3 linked regions of the Rattus norvegicus genome follow. The protein of the gene in region 3 interacts with the protein of the main gene of each other region in a pairwise test. Links are inferred from orthologs where the notes say so. Each region holds a gene or a part of one and is shown on either strand. Other genes may lie near its edges.

Evidence for each region. The genes of interacting proteins can lie anywhere in the genome.
Region 1: the proteins of Pnma5 (region 3) and Zbtb25 interact in binary tests that used the Homo sapiens proteins (3 or more experiments, as listed by UniProt). The two-hybrid records come from large-scale screens. The link is inferred for Rattus norvegicus from reciprocal best matches to the Homo sapiens genes PNMA5 and ZBTB25.
Region 2: the proteins of Pnma5 (region 3) and Tbc1d22b interact in binary tests that used the Homo sapiens proteins (3 or more experiments, as listed by UniProt). The link is inferred for Rattus norvegicus from reciprocal best matches to the Homo sapiens genes PNMA5 and TBC1D22B.

What each region holds. Positions count from the first base shown.
Region 1 is NC_086024.1:100,816,414-100,821,244, forward strand, and holds the start of Zbtb25 (zinc finger and BTB domain-containing protein 25), read right to left. Parts: upstream 3,280-4,831; 5' UTR 3,245-3,279; intron 2,594-3,244; 5' UTR 2,587-2,593; coding exon 2,414-2,586; intron 1-2,413. UniProt on the Homo sapiens protein: May be involved in transcriptional regulation.
Region 2 is NC_086038.1:7,619,367-7,624,104, forward strand, and holds the start of Tbc1d22b (TBC1 domain family member 22B), read left to right. Parts: upstream 1-1,459; 5' UTR 1,460-1,494; coding exon 1,495-1,550; intron 1,551-4,738. Other genes in the region: Tmem217 (transmembrane protein 217), read right to left, coding at 1,140-1,192. UniProt on the Homo sapiens protein: May act as a GTPase-activating protein for Rab family protein(s).
Region 3 is NC_086039.1:155,922,277-155,926,899, forward strand, and holds Pnma5 (paraneoplastic antigen-like protein 5), read right to left. Parts: upstream 2,780-4,623; coding exon 1,469-2,779; 3' UTR 855-1,468; downstream 1-854.

The DNA.
Region 1 (4,831 bases), on a different chromosome or scaffold from region 3:
TTTAATCAACCTTAGTTATGCTTGTTTTTATGACTATGCTCTGCCATGGATACCATGTACTGAGTTTAACAGAGATACATAAAAGCTACAGACCAAACCATGACCCATGCTATTTCCCCTCCAACTGCAACACTCTTCCTAATATTTGTCTGCAACCTCTGAAAGACTCTTCACTTTTCAGATTTGTAAAGTCTGTTTCACACTTCTCAAAATGGGCCTGCTAGAACTCTTCTACTCTGAGTACACCTTGATGTCTGACACCACATTACCAAGAGCAAAGCTCTGTTCTAAACATTTTAATGGCATTAATCCACTTAATCTTTTAGTACCCAAAAGGAGAGTATATACTGTAGCATTTAACAGACAAGAGAGCTGAGTGTTAGGGTTTGAAGGTGAAATGTTCCCTGGAGGCTCAGGTGTACAATCTCACAACCATGGTGGCCATCTGACGGGCTTTGGGGAAGTGACTAGATCACAAGGTCTCTGGTTTCACCAGTGTGCTCACCACTCAAGAAGTCACATGTCATGTGACTGAATTACTTGGAGGTGGGAAACACTAGGAAATGGGGCCAAGGTGGAAGAAGAGTCACCAAGAGTACACCTGCCAGGGCTGTTATCCAGTCCCTGGTCACTGCACTGTTCCTGCTTTCTCCTGCCTAGCTTGAAGTGGGTAGCTTTTCTGTTACCCTTTCTCTCATGCTATCTTTGTCTTCCCAGTCTTAAAAGTAATGGAGAGCAGGCCAGCTGCAAGTGGGCTAAAGCTTGTGACTGTAAGCACAACAAATCCTTGTTTTCTTAGGCATTTTGTCACAGCACCAGGAGTGACTACCACCAGACAGCTCAACTATTTGTTTACATCTGACTCTCTATCAGGCTATAGATTTCTCGAAGGCAGAGTATAAGTTACTTATGACTGTACTGTAGCTCAACCTCTAATATATATGTACTTAGGAAATATTTAAATGTTTGAACAGTTAAATAAATATATAATTGGGATTTGACTCCTCAGTTTCATGTAAGGTCCTTTAAAAACAAACAAAACAACAACCCACCCAGTACACAGGGAACCAAGCCTGGTGGCTTGGGCCTATGGTTCTAGCTACTGAAAGCTGAGGCAGGAAGATCACAAGTTCAAGGTCCTCCTGGGCTACAGAGTAAGTTCAAGGGCAGTTTGGACAACTTAGTGAGACTCTATCTCAAAATTTATAAAAAATAATAAATAAATAAGCAAGCAACATTCTAGAATTGTCTAAGCCTAGACTAGACTAAATTAATCTTTTCCCAGAGCTCAGAATTTGAATTCCCATATCTAAATTCAAAAAATGCAAAAAGAATTAAAAAAACACAAAACCAAAACAATGTGAAACAAATACTCTGTTACTGGTGATGTTCAGTATGTGACGGTACAATGTGACACTGAAAGGATGCTACACAGAAATCAACAGCCTCGTGCTTAAGTACACAGTTTAGCTTCAGAGTTAGTTATACTTGAGCCCAGCTGATCAGTTATTTAACCCTGCATGGGCCATTTAACAGCTCAGTCTCAGTTGCCTTTTCCCTAACACCAGGATAACAGTGCAATTTACATGATAGGATTTGATGCTTGGGTATTAGTTAAGACTTTTTTGTTGGTAGAGGGTTTGATCTCATTAGGTAGCCTTGATTGGCCTAGAACTCACCATGTAGACAAGTTGTCCTCAAACTCAGAGATCCCCTTCCCTCTGCCACCTGAGGTAAGATGAAAGGAATGCAGCCCCACACTGGACTGGGCTAAGCCTTTAATCAAGTTGAGTTATACATGTTTTCATTAAGTATGTTCTACCACAGATACCATGTACTGAGCTTAATACTGAAATATATATGTGTATATGTGTGCATGTGTGTGTTATTATAATTAAAAATTTGTGGGGGCTGGAGAGATGGCTCAGTGGTTAAGAGCACTGACTGCTCTTCCAGAGGTCCTGAGTTCAATTCCCAGCAACCACATGGTGGCTCACAACCATCTGTAATGGGATCTGATGCCCTCTGGTGTGTCGGAAGACAGCTACAATGTACTTACATATAATAAATAAAATAAAAATTTCTATTAGGATAACCCAATAATAAGCCCTTAAACCAATGATTTTCAACCTGTGGGTTGAAACCCGTCTGGGATCAAATAATCCTTTCATGGGTCAACTATCAGATATCCTACATATCAGTTATTTACATTATGATTCTTAACAGTTAGCAAAGTTACAGCTATGAAATGGCAACAAAATAATTTTAAGGTTGGGGGTTACCACAACACGAGGGACTGTATTAAAGGTCTCAGCATTAGAAAGGTTGAAAAACCACTGCCTTGAATGATATTATAAGGCATATATATCACAATATTAAAAAATTCTTCTCATTTACAAAAGCTGCTTCTTACCTTGTTTGGTGAATAAAAATCATCTTGAAATAGTTAGAAAAAGCAGCAAGTACTGCTCGGTGGGCTTTGAAGTAAACGTCTCCAATAGCAACTGTGCAGTCACACAGAAAACCAAATTCTCGCTGCATGTTCAGCTGCTGCAGAAGCACAAGGCTATGGCTAGCAGTATCCATTGTGGCTCTGAGAAAAACCAACATAAATATATGTTTGGAATATATAGATTTTTATATACATACAGACATATATACATATGCACACACATATGTATGTATATACATATACACACACACACACACACACACACACACACACACACATATATTTATACACAAACCTGGTTACATTTCCCACAAACCTAGAGCATTAAGGCCTCATTTTAAATGAAAATATTCAACACAGTTGACTTCGCTATCTAACATTAAATCCCTTAATTATGACACTGAGATAAACTCTACTGGACAGTAAGACAGTCTTTTTAAGCAAGGTAGAAGGTGATTTGTATAAGGGAGAGAAATGCTCGTGCTTTTCCACGTGACCATGTTTCAATTTCCTGTATGTGTACCTTATCAAACCCAGGGCCTTGCCCATGCTAGGCGAGCCCCACTCCTACTCTCCTTTGGTTTAAAGCACCTGGGGCTTTGTCTACCCAGAAACACTACTACTGAGCTCTACCCCACCTTTAGATCACGTTTCTAATGCTGTGACTCGGAGTTACTTGAGATAACTTAGTGAAAACAGGGTTGTAACGTTACCTATAAGTGGGAATAACAGGGCACCCTATCTGGTTGTGAGCCTCAGTCATCTATCTCTCCAGCCTGATGGGCATCCTACCTGGACTAGAACTGTCCATTTTCTTCTGAGATCCTCTGGCATTCCGGAGACACTGGCCTCCTGACTGTCATGAAATGTTTGTGGGACTTAGCCGTCACAGATGTCAAGCTATACCCTTATTTATAAGGGTCTGGGAGCTCATTAGAAAGAACCTACAACCTGATTTCATACACACCAGGATGCAGATTCTCTGTGGTAAGAAAAGGAAGACCTGGTAAATGGGCCTCAAGGGGAAAATCCTGCATGAGGATATGCAAGTAAGTCCTGGCCACAACAGACTGTGTAACTGTAACTGTAAGCAACAAAGACACAGGAAAAGGGGTTGAGGATTTAGCTCAGTGGTAGAGCGCTTGCCTAGCAAGCGCAAGGCCCTGGGTTCGGTCCCCAGCTCTGAACAAAAGAAAAGAAAAAAAAAAAAAAAGACACAGGAAAGTCAGTTTCAGGCAGGTGGGGGCTATTCTTCACTACCACCTTTGCCCTAGCTGTGCAAAGAGCCTGGTGCTTTGGGGAGGAAGGCAGCTGCAATTCAATGGGTGTCACTAAGTGTGGTAGTTAGAATATGTTTGGCTCCCCGTAGATTCATGCATTTCAATGCTTGGTCATAGGTGTGGACTTGTTAGAGGAAGTGCATCACTGTGTAGGTGGGCTTTGAGGTCTCCTATGCTCAAGCTCCGCCCTGTGTGAAATCCTCCTGGCTGCTTTTGGATCAACATGTAGAACTCTCAGCACCTTCTAAAGAACCAATGTCAGTCTGCAGGCTGCCATGCTTCCTGCTACGATAACGGACTGAACGAAACTGTAAGCCAGCACCAATTAAATGTCCTTTACAAGAGTTGCCATGACCATGGTGTCCCCTCACAGCAATGAAACCCTAACACACTAGGGAACTGGGAGAACAAGCTTTGAAAGAGCAGATTCTGAAAGTGAGAATGAGGCTTCTTCTAGAGCCAGAGACCAAGGTCTGAGGTCAATGATTGAGGCTGGGGTAACCATCAAGAGATTAGCAATAGCATGGGTAGCAGACAGGTGAGCAACTCATGATGATATAATAAAGATAGATAACCCATTACAGTGCTTCCTGTGTGTTAGGCACTTTAACCCATTCTATTCTTAACAGAACTTCCCAAGCAAAGGAATATTAGGTTCCCTTTACAAGTCAGGACTGAATGACGGACACCCAAGATCACACTGCTAGTAAGGGGCAGAAAGCTCCAAAGGCCAAATTCCCCACAGTCCCTAAAAGGAAACATGACCCACAGGTTAGAGCAGCCCTGAGAGAGAGCTACTGACAACAACTGCAGAGGAAGGTTAAGGAACATTAACAAGGAGGAGTTCTGGAGAGACCTGGATGTCCTGCTGGTTAAATAGATGATATACAACAACTATATATGCAAAGAAAGTCTAAATATAACAATGATAACATTATTATTGACAAAAGAACCTGCTTTATTAAAAACTGCAATATACTGCTGCGACACAGTAAGAGGCAGAATATACATAAAGAAAACTATGTGAAAGGAGCTGAGCTGTTATTTTACTTTTAAGCATGGGAGAAAACATTTTCCATAACTAACTTCCTGTCTGTGT
Region 2 (4,738 bases), on a different chromosome or scaffold from region 3:
CAAGCGCTCTACCACTGAGCTAAATCCCCAACCCCGCAGGTCTTTCTTTTAGTGGGAAAAGAAGGAGCCTTGAGAATCCTCCAATATGTTGGGCCAGCAAGATGGCTCAGTGGGTATAGGGGCTTGCTGCCAAGCCTGAGGACCTGAGTTTGATTTCTTCCGACCTAAATGGTGGGAAAACGGAAAACTGCAAGTTGTCCTCTGCCCTCCACACTTACACACACACACACACACACACACACACACACACACACACACACACACGCACGCCCACACGCATGCACGCACGCACAAATAAATGTAATATTTTTTTAATATTTAGAAAACAGGGTGTTAGTACAGAGATGGATTGGGGGGGGCAACCTGCACACATCTACAGTTCCTTGTCTGAACAAAAATTTTTTGGGGTGGGTAGAAAATCTCCATCTTCCCTCGAAGTGTCGTCCCAGGACACACTCCAAAAAGAGAGGTAGTCATTAACATGACACCCAAAGGAGACAACATGCTAAAACCAGATCTCATTTCGAGTCGAAATTAGATTGAAAAATTAATCTGTAGACGGAAGATTTATAACCGGTTAATAAAGGGGTTGAGGCTATTGGGGTAGATTCTCCATCTTCCTGATCGTTGCCATGGAGATGTCCAACAACCCTTAGAGAAAAACGGTACTTGGAGGGTAAAACAGTATTTCCTAAGTACGACTTCTCAGTACCTCGATCCTCACAAGCAGAAAGAGTAAGACCCGAAGGAGGGATTACATCACGAAGTTCAGTTAGCGGAAGAGAGGGAAACTCTGATCAATCAACTGCTATTCATACAATAGTTCCCCGCCCTGGGGTCTGGCCGGAGCTATCGTCTAAGAAATTGGGATCCTAAGGGAACAAGGAGGGGGCTAACCACCCTGGGTGCCATTGAGGTCTCAAAAATGGTCTCCATAATTACATGAGACCTTACTTAAGACTAATGTATATAAATGTTATGGTTTCTCCTTCCCTCTCCCCTCCAGGAAAACCCCAGAACCTCAGCCCATCAAAGGCAACAGTCCCATCTCCTTCTTCCCATTCCCAGCAGGTCTTTTTCTTTTTTTCTTTTCTATTTTCTTTTCTTTCCTTTTTTTTTTTTTTTTTTTTTTTTTTTACCTGGTTCTCTGCCTCCGGGGAGTAGGAACTTTCAGCCCCGCCTTCCTGCCCATCTAAGCCCCGCCTTCCCGGCCCACCTGTGTGCCCAGCCCATGACGTTGCCGCGGGGCTTCAGCGGCCGGCAGGATCCCGGATCCTTATTGGTCCATCCGCTCACCGGCCTGCACAGCCCACCAATGGCAACGGCGCTGGGCGGGGGGAGTGCCCACATCCAAGATGGCGCCCCCAGGAGCTGGGAGCGGGTGACCGGCGGCGGGGAAGCGGCCTGGGCTGGCCCTCAGATTGCGGGGTCCCGGGGGCCTGTCGCGGGGCGCCCCCGTGACCCACTGACCAGGCCTTCCCCCGGGCCAGAGCGATGGCCGCCGAGAACAGCAAGCAGTTCTGGAAGAGGAGCGCCAAGCTGCCGGGGAGGTGAGTCCAGGACGCTGAGGGGAGTGGGGATTGGACCCAAAGCCTTCCAGATCTTGATCTCTGAATCCCGCCGTCTTGGGGCGCCCCCGAGGCCGGAGGGCTGGTGTCGGGGTAGCCCAGGCTAGAGCAGCTGTCAATCAGAGGAGCCTGGCCAGCTTGGGTGTGGGGTGCAGTCTAGGGTCTGGGGGCGGGGAACCTCAGCTTGGAGGTGTCAGGGAGCCCGGTGTGAGGGGCAGAGGAGTTGGGCGAGTTGACATTGTCAGTCTGGCCTTGGAGGGCCACCTGCAGACCGCTTTCGACTTTGTACCGAACTACTCAGGGGTCTCCAACAGCATGGGTGGCTGCCTGCATGAGGGTGGATGGCCCCATGGCCTTGGGTCCCAGTCCATCACCTTCCTGTTTTCTTTTTGTACTCCCCAGGGGTTCTGATGGGGCAGGCCTGCAGGGTATGAGCAAGGGAAAGTGAGGGGGAATTCTCAAGCCTGACCTTACTTTGTCTTGAGTTGGTCCTTTCTCATTAGAAATTATTACAGGGTGGCCACAGGGTGGAGAGTAAGTTACTTCTGACATTTTCTAATCACTTGCGCAATCCCTGAGAAGTGATGTGCTTTTAGTGTAGATGCATTAAATTCTCTGAATCCTCAGTTTTGTTGGAGAGCAGGCCTCCTGAGTGACTGACTTATTTTCTTAGTGTTTCTTTCTCTTCTTGGTGTATGTTGACATTCTGAACAATTGTCTGTCTGTCAGTCAGCCTTTGGATTACTGGCTCAGTTTGTTTTGGGTGGTGTCCTGAAAAGTGAAAGCCCTATGTGTTTTCACTACTGGGTTTAAGATTTCTGCCAGTCACAGGCTGCTTGGTGTTAGAATTTGTGTCTGATCATGGCCCTCAAGTGTTATCTTTCCTTAGTGATTTGCCTGTAAGTCTTTTTGTTCAGGTGTACTCCTTTGACTTGTGACCTCGATCTCTTACCCTCCTCCTTTCTCTCCCCCCTCTCTCTCCTCCCCTTCTTCCTCCCTCTCTTCTTTCTCCCTCTTTCCTTCTCTCCATCTCTCTCCACACTATTGAGGACGCTCTACCACTGAGCTGCACACAGCCCCCTCTCTTTAAGTGAAAGAGAACCGAGAGTCAACCTTGGCTGTGTAACTTTTCTGAGCTGTCATTAGACACGTGGAGAAAGTTTAGGGACCAGGTTTTAGCAACTCGTATTAATATAATACCAGGGGAGGCAAGGGTAGCTTTGGTTTGAAGTGCTGTGGGGGTTAACGGTGTTCACACATTGAACAGTGACACCGTGTTTTTAGATAAGCTCCGCTTCCTGCCACTGATTTCTTTTTCCTTCCTGCTTGAGCGAGCTCTCCAGTCGCGCTGACTGCTCTTCTCTGGGAGTTTGCTACAGAGGGATCATGACAGTTTGATATCCTGAGATAATAATCGGTGGGGGGAAAAACTGGTTACGTCAGGAAGCAGGGGTGAGGGCAGTGGGAGATGGGCGATCTTTGTGCCTTTGGACGGCCAGATGTGGTGCACTAATGGTCTTTTGTTTCCTTTATTTCTTCTACTGGCCTATGGGAAGTCAACTTTTTAAAAAGTACTACTTTAAATAATTACATTTATTTATCTGTTTAATTAGTGTGTGTGTGTGTGTGTGTGTGTGTGTGTGTGTGTCTCCAAGGGTGTGCACTTGTGCATGTCACAGTGTTCAAGTGGAGGTCAGAGGAGGACAATTTACAAGAGTCAGTTCTCTCCTTCCACCATGCGGATCTCAGGGATTGAACTCAGGTCATCAGGCTTAGGGGGAAGCATCTTTATCTGCTGAGCTGTCTTGACGGCCCAAAAGCATTACTTTTGCTGGAGTAGGTGGACTCTTCAGTTTCTCCAAAGCTCTGGCTTCCTCTTTTCATTTTGAAACGTGGAGCCTTGGCGGCGAGAATTTTGGAGTCCGGGTCATCATGATTTATCATTGTTGTTATTATTTTACTTTTATCATCATCGTCGTTCAGATCCTCTTACCTGCAGGAGTCGCAGTCTACCTCAGCTTCAGTTTCCTTCATAGGGGAATAAAATCTCTTCCCTCAGAATCATCCGAAGGCTAACGGGAATGCCCTATTTGTATAGAACCCATTGTAAAGAACCTAGGACAGCGTTTATTTGCTACACAGTACTTGCTCCATAAATAGTCATTATTAATTACCCCCTCGTTATTAGAGCAAGCAAACATTTAAAAGGATGTTTCTCAGCTCCCAGGACTAGTTATTTGTCTTTTTTATTATGGAGGCATAAAAATGTTGCCATGATCCATAAACCACGATCCATACCTTGCCTGGCCAGGGGAGTGTTATCCCCTGTACACGCTCGTCAGAGAGCCCCAGAGCTCAGGGCTGTTGGGAAAAGCTGCTGTTCGTTCCCATAGAAGGCATTTTGGTTCCAGAACAGAACTTTTACATCTGAACTCTTCCCAGTCTGTGGAAGAGGCGTTTCCTCGTGATTCAGCCGATGAACTAGCTAGTGCCAGGTCCTCAGAAGTGTAGAAAGAAAGTTACTTTTCTCTTCTTTGCAGTTTGAAAGGTGAGAAAAGTGTAAATTGTAGCTGGTTACTTTCAGTTTCTTTGATCAGGATGGAGAGACCTTAGTGACAGCTGGAGTAGAAATTTTGTTCGAGCCTACAGCCTACATTCCAAAAAACAACAACAACAACAACAACAAAAAAAACAAAAAACAAAACAAAACCCAAAGTGGGCCAGAGAGATGGCTCAGCTGTTAAGAGCACTGGCTGCTCTTCCAGAGGTCCTGAGTTCAATTCCCAGCAGCCAGTAGTAGTTCCGTAATGGGATCTGATGCCCTCTTCAGTCATGCAGGTGTACATGCAGATAGAGCACTCATAGACATAGAAATACATGAATAAATAAACCTTTAAAAGAATAAAAACCCAAAGCATTCTTTAAATTTTGTTTTTTTGTCACTATATAGCCCTGGTTGTCCAGGAACTCAACTATGTAGACCAAGGCTGGCCTTGAACTCTTTTCTATTTTTTTATTTTTCGGAGCTGGGGTCCGAACCCAGGGCCTTGCGCTTGCTCTACCACTGGGCTAAATCCCCAACCCCGGCCTTGAACTCATAGAGATTGACTTGTCTCTGCCTCCCTAGTGCTGAGATTAAAGGCATGCATCAGCACTGTCCTGCAGGTTGG
Region 3 (4,623 bases):
ACTCGCAGCAGAGGTAGAACATAGCCAGAACATTCTTGAAATTTATTCAACAAAGCTTGTATTAAAACCATTGAAAACATAACAGAAACTTTGAGTGGTCACTAGAAGATATAGGCCCTGCCCACACACGGACCTTCTGCTATCTCAAGAGATCACCCACAACAGTGTAGAATACACAGTCCAGGCACAGGGAACTGGTGGGAGCATAGCATCCACTTACCCTCCTTAACACACACACCTCACTCACGGCTTTGTACAGGAGCAGCCAATGGTGGGTAAGCACACAGTGGGGGAAGGGACTCACTGGGCAACTGGGTCACTATGAGCTTAGCAGGTAAGAAGGCGGGGTTCCAGAGCAGGGGGTACAGCCTCTGGACAGTAATGGGAAGGGGAAGGGGCGTCCGTATTGGGAGAGCCAGGCAGTAGGCAGAACCCTCGAGATGGCCTCTTCTGGAACGTCCACGCGTTTGGTATGGATGGCAGATGGAGGATGGCGCTCTGGTAATGCCGCCAGACCACCCCTCAGCTCGGCAGGGTTTGGGGCCAGCCTTGGCAGAGTTGAATTCACTGGCTCTCCCTGCTTGCTCTCTGGAATTCTCCAGCAGCCCTGGACAAAAGGGAGAAGAACAAACTACGCCCCCCCCCCCCCAAGCCCAACCCCGACACACACAGAGTCCTCCTCCTGATGTTCTTCCATCTCCTGTTTGTTCGCACAAAATCTGCCCTGCACACTCCCAGGCTCTCAGGCCAGCTGAGGGCATTAACCCTATGGTGCCATGTGCCCCAGCCTGGGGCTCTTCTCAGGCACTGGTGTCCTGTCAGGTGCCAAGAGGGAAACTGCCCTGCGTTGGCACTGCCTAGCCCCCATCCCCCCATCCTTTGGTGGGTCTGGAGATTGGGGGTTTCACGGGGGTGGGGGGAGTTCACTCACGGAAGGACTCAAGGGTGCTGCCCTCATGGGGCTCCCCTAGAGCAGTGTAGATGATCCTGAAGACAGGCTGGATCCTGCGGCCTCCTCTCCTGGGTACTCCCTCCCTCCCTAGCTGTACTTGCTCCCAGGCACTGGTGTCCTCTGCCCAAGACAACCCCGTGGCGGGCTCCTTTATGCCCTGTGCTGCTTCAGTGCTGGTGGGCATCCTTAGCTCAGAGCACCCAGCGTCACCATCTTGTGACCCACTAGTATGCCAACTACAGTCTGGATGACCCTGTAGTCTGCTTATCATATTAGCTCCCCAGTTCTGTCTCTGACACTCCCTGTGGGCCTGGCATTTGGTTGTCACTGAGCTGCATGGAACTTGCCCTTGCTTGTTGTAATCATTTCTAAGTAGTAAGAAGTTGGGGGCTTTACCCTGGCCCCGCTGCTCTTCTGCAACACCCATGTCCCCTGCTCTTTGCCTGGGCTGCCCCATGATTTTGTCACAGTATCTCTGTTGCCTGCCAGAGGAAGGAATTCCTGCATGTCCTGAGCCTATATTTCCTTGGGGTTGGGGTGGCTCATAGCCCAAGCCCCTCTCTCGTTTCCCGATTCCTGTATTGTAACAAAGGGTTTCTCCTCATCTGATTCATTTTCAGCCCAGAAACCTGATTCCCTCATATGTTCCTCTTCTCCAGTACTCTGTCTCCATAGCAGTCGCCTCCGTTTCACTGATGTGATCTCCTCTCCTATGGTCTGGGTGCTGATCTCCCTAAAGTACTCCTCCTGGGTAACAACTTGATCTGCTGTCTCACGTGTCCTGTTTTCCTTTTCTGCCTGATTCTGCTCCTTCCCTACCATAGTGGTCTCCCACTCTTCCTCATCTCGAGTGAGTTTCATTAATTCCAGAAAAGTAGGTGGGCACCCTTGCTGATCTAAGAGAGATAGTTTGCCCCGAAGGCCAGTGGTCATGGAGACCCTAGATAAGATATGCTTGAGACGAATTGAATCTGCACTGTGTGTTGACAATGGGCTCTGCTGTACTGCTTTTTGCAGCAGGGGCTCTAAGCGTAGCAAGTAATCAGATATCTTCTCTGCAGGTTTCTGAGAAGATTGAAGGAACCTGAACTGGAAGACCTTACAGTCCTCTTTATTCCCAAAGATGTGCTTTAGGGCTTTCAAACACTGCTCCACAGTTAGGGAGTCATTGCTAGCCCACAGTGCCTGCATGATTGACAGGGCAGAGCCACGCAGACTCTCCACAAGGCGCTGCTTCTTCTCACTCTCAGACACCTGCCATAAGTGCATCAGCTCAGTGACCTCCTCTAACCAGGTCTCAAAGCTTTCTTCTCCTGGGCCGGGAAAGGGACTGCCAGAAAACACTTTTAGTTTTTGGTAACATGTGCCATTACTGCACAGAGACTTCAAGCCTTTTGGTTTGTCTTGGTCTAAATTCTTTAGCTCCATTCTCCCTGTAGGGACAGTGCTAAACCCCAGGGCTTTGGCCACATCTACCATTCTCCGCCCTTCATCTCTCAGAAAGTAGATCAACTTATTGATAAACTCATCATCTGGGCTACGGGGTTTGACAACCACTTCCCAGGCCCCACCCTCTGCTGGTATATGAGTAGGCATCATAGTATAATCGACAACTTCAGTCAGTTCAATTAAGACTGCCTTAGCTTCATCTTCCCTCCTGAACATTCTGCCTATCACCTTGTGTGCACACAAAGGAGGTAAGCCTTCTTTCAGAGCATCCTTTATCTCAGCTTCAGTGCACTGTACGGGGATGCCCACAATGAGTACAGCCTTCCTGGGGTCCAGATCCATCCCCTTACACCAGTCATCTAATAGAGCTACAGCCATTGTTCCCTCCCTCTATGGGCAGACCTAACACTAGCACTCAAAGATTCTAAACCAATGCCATACAGAAAGGCAGTGATGTCCTGGTTTCCACAACCTGAAATGCAAATGAAGTTAAGGTGGTACTTAATGATTCCCATCACCTTTCCTCCTCCCAGACATTCAGTCTTGTGCAATCACAGAAAGTTTCCGGAACCTCACTGAACCCTGCTGACCTCCAGTTGCAGCAACCTCCTTGAAAGTCCAGGGACGCTACTCCATATTCTGCAAGTACCTGGAGGGAAAATGCCAATGTCAGGAGGCAAAGAGCATACCTGAGAGTACTGGAAAAGACCCAGTGGAGGACAGAACAGGAGAACACTCTGCCACCCACGTAGTGCTGTATTGGATTTAGCCCATTCCTTATTAGGTCCAAGACTGGCAGCACATAGAAAACTCTCCTCCTCCTGAAGAAGTGCTCAACAGGTAAGAAAGATGACTGGAACTCAGCAGATGTGATCACAGTGCTGGGTGCAAAGAACATATGACAAGCTAAAGTGTAGGCATGGACAGAGGAACAGTGTAAATCTGGGCTTCTACAATAGATTAAGGCCTTTGAAGGACAACAGGTGCTGTCATGGTCCTCCAAGTAATAAAGCATCTTAGCCACAGGTATGGACAGCAGGATAGGGCAGAGACTGAGGAGGGCTGATAAATCAAGCGTATGGGTTTACATAGTATGGAATCTGGAATTAAAAGCAAAAATAACCCCAGAAAGTAAACAGACAACTGTCATCCCAGGTATGGCCCTACCCTGCGGTCTGTGAATCTTGGCAGGAAACACGTTGAACCAGCTCTTTGCTACAGTTAAAGGCTACTCCCAAAATAGATGCTCACCCCGCTGTTTTCTGTGTAGTACCTACCCTACTGAAGTGCTGAGATGATGACTTTCCTGGTACTGGTGCTTGATCCTCACAGTCTTCTGGCTCTATGCAGACAGGCAGTGCAGGAATGCTGGTTCCTGCCCACTGATCTGTTCAAGGCAAGGCAGAGCAATATTTAATATGGTCTGTCCTGAATGTCCCTGCCCATGCAGGCTGTAGCAATTCTGAGTCTGCTCAAGAATCTAAAGACAGCCCCTTTTGCTGGGTGTGGTTGAGCACATCTTTAATCCCTGCACTTGAAGTAGGCTGAGGCTGATCTGTCAGTTTTGAAAAGTAAGCCAGCGGAAGCTACTTTGTAAGACTTTTTTTTTTTTTTTTTTAATTCCTTGCAAGGATTTGAGCAACTGCTCCACTAGGAGGAGCTGCTGAGACAGACTCCACTGACCTCTGTCCATCACAAAATGTCACTCCTATTTCCAGAATCAGCTGCCATCCAGCTCCATCCTGGTCCCTGCAACCTGCTAGTTGTGCCCAGCACCACCTCGTCCCTGTTCCAGCGCCATTTTGGTCCACCCACCATCTATCTCAGTTCCAGCTCTGAACAAGACCCAGACCGATCCGGGTTCCAGCAACTTCTCAACTGTCCCAAGTGTTGGCCCTTCCCAGTTCCATCAAGTCCCCAGAATCCTGCAGCCATCTCTCAGTCCCTGCACTGGACCAGGCCAGCCCCTTCCAATAATACCTTTCAAGTTATGTCCCAACACCGCATCCTAGTGACAATCTAAAGTACTCCTGTTGCCAAATATTTCCCTCACTTATGCCTAAATTTTCCTACCTCGACCTATTCTAAAACCCAAACAAACCCTGGGGATCAGCTTCTCAGGAGGCAGAAAGGTCACCTGAACCCAGAAAGGTGAGGCCGGCCTGTGCAACATAAAAATTCTATCTCACTGGGTTGGGGATTTAGCTCAGTGGTAGAGCGCT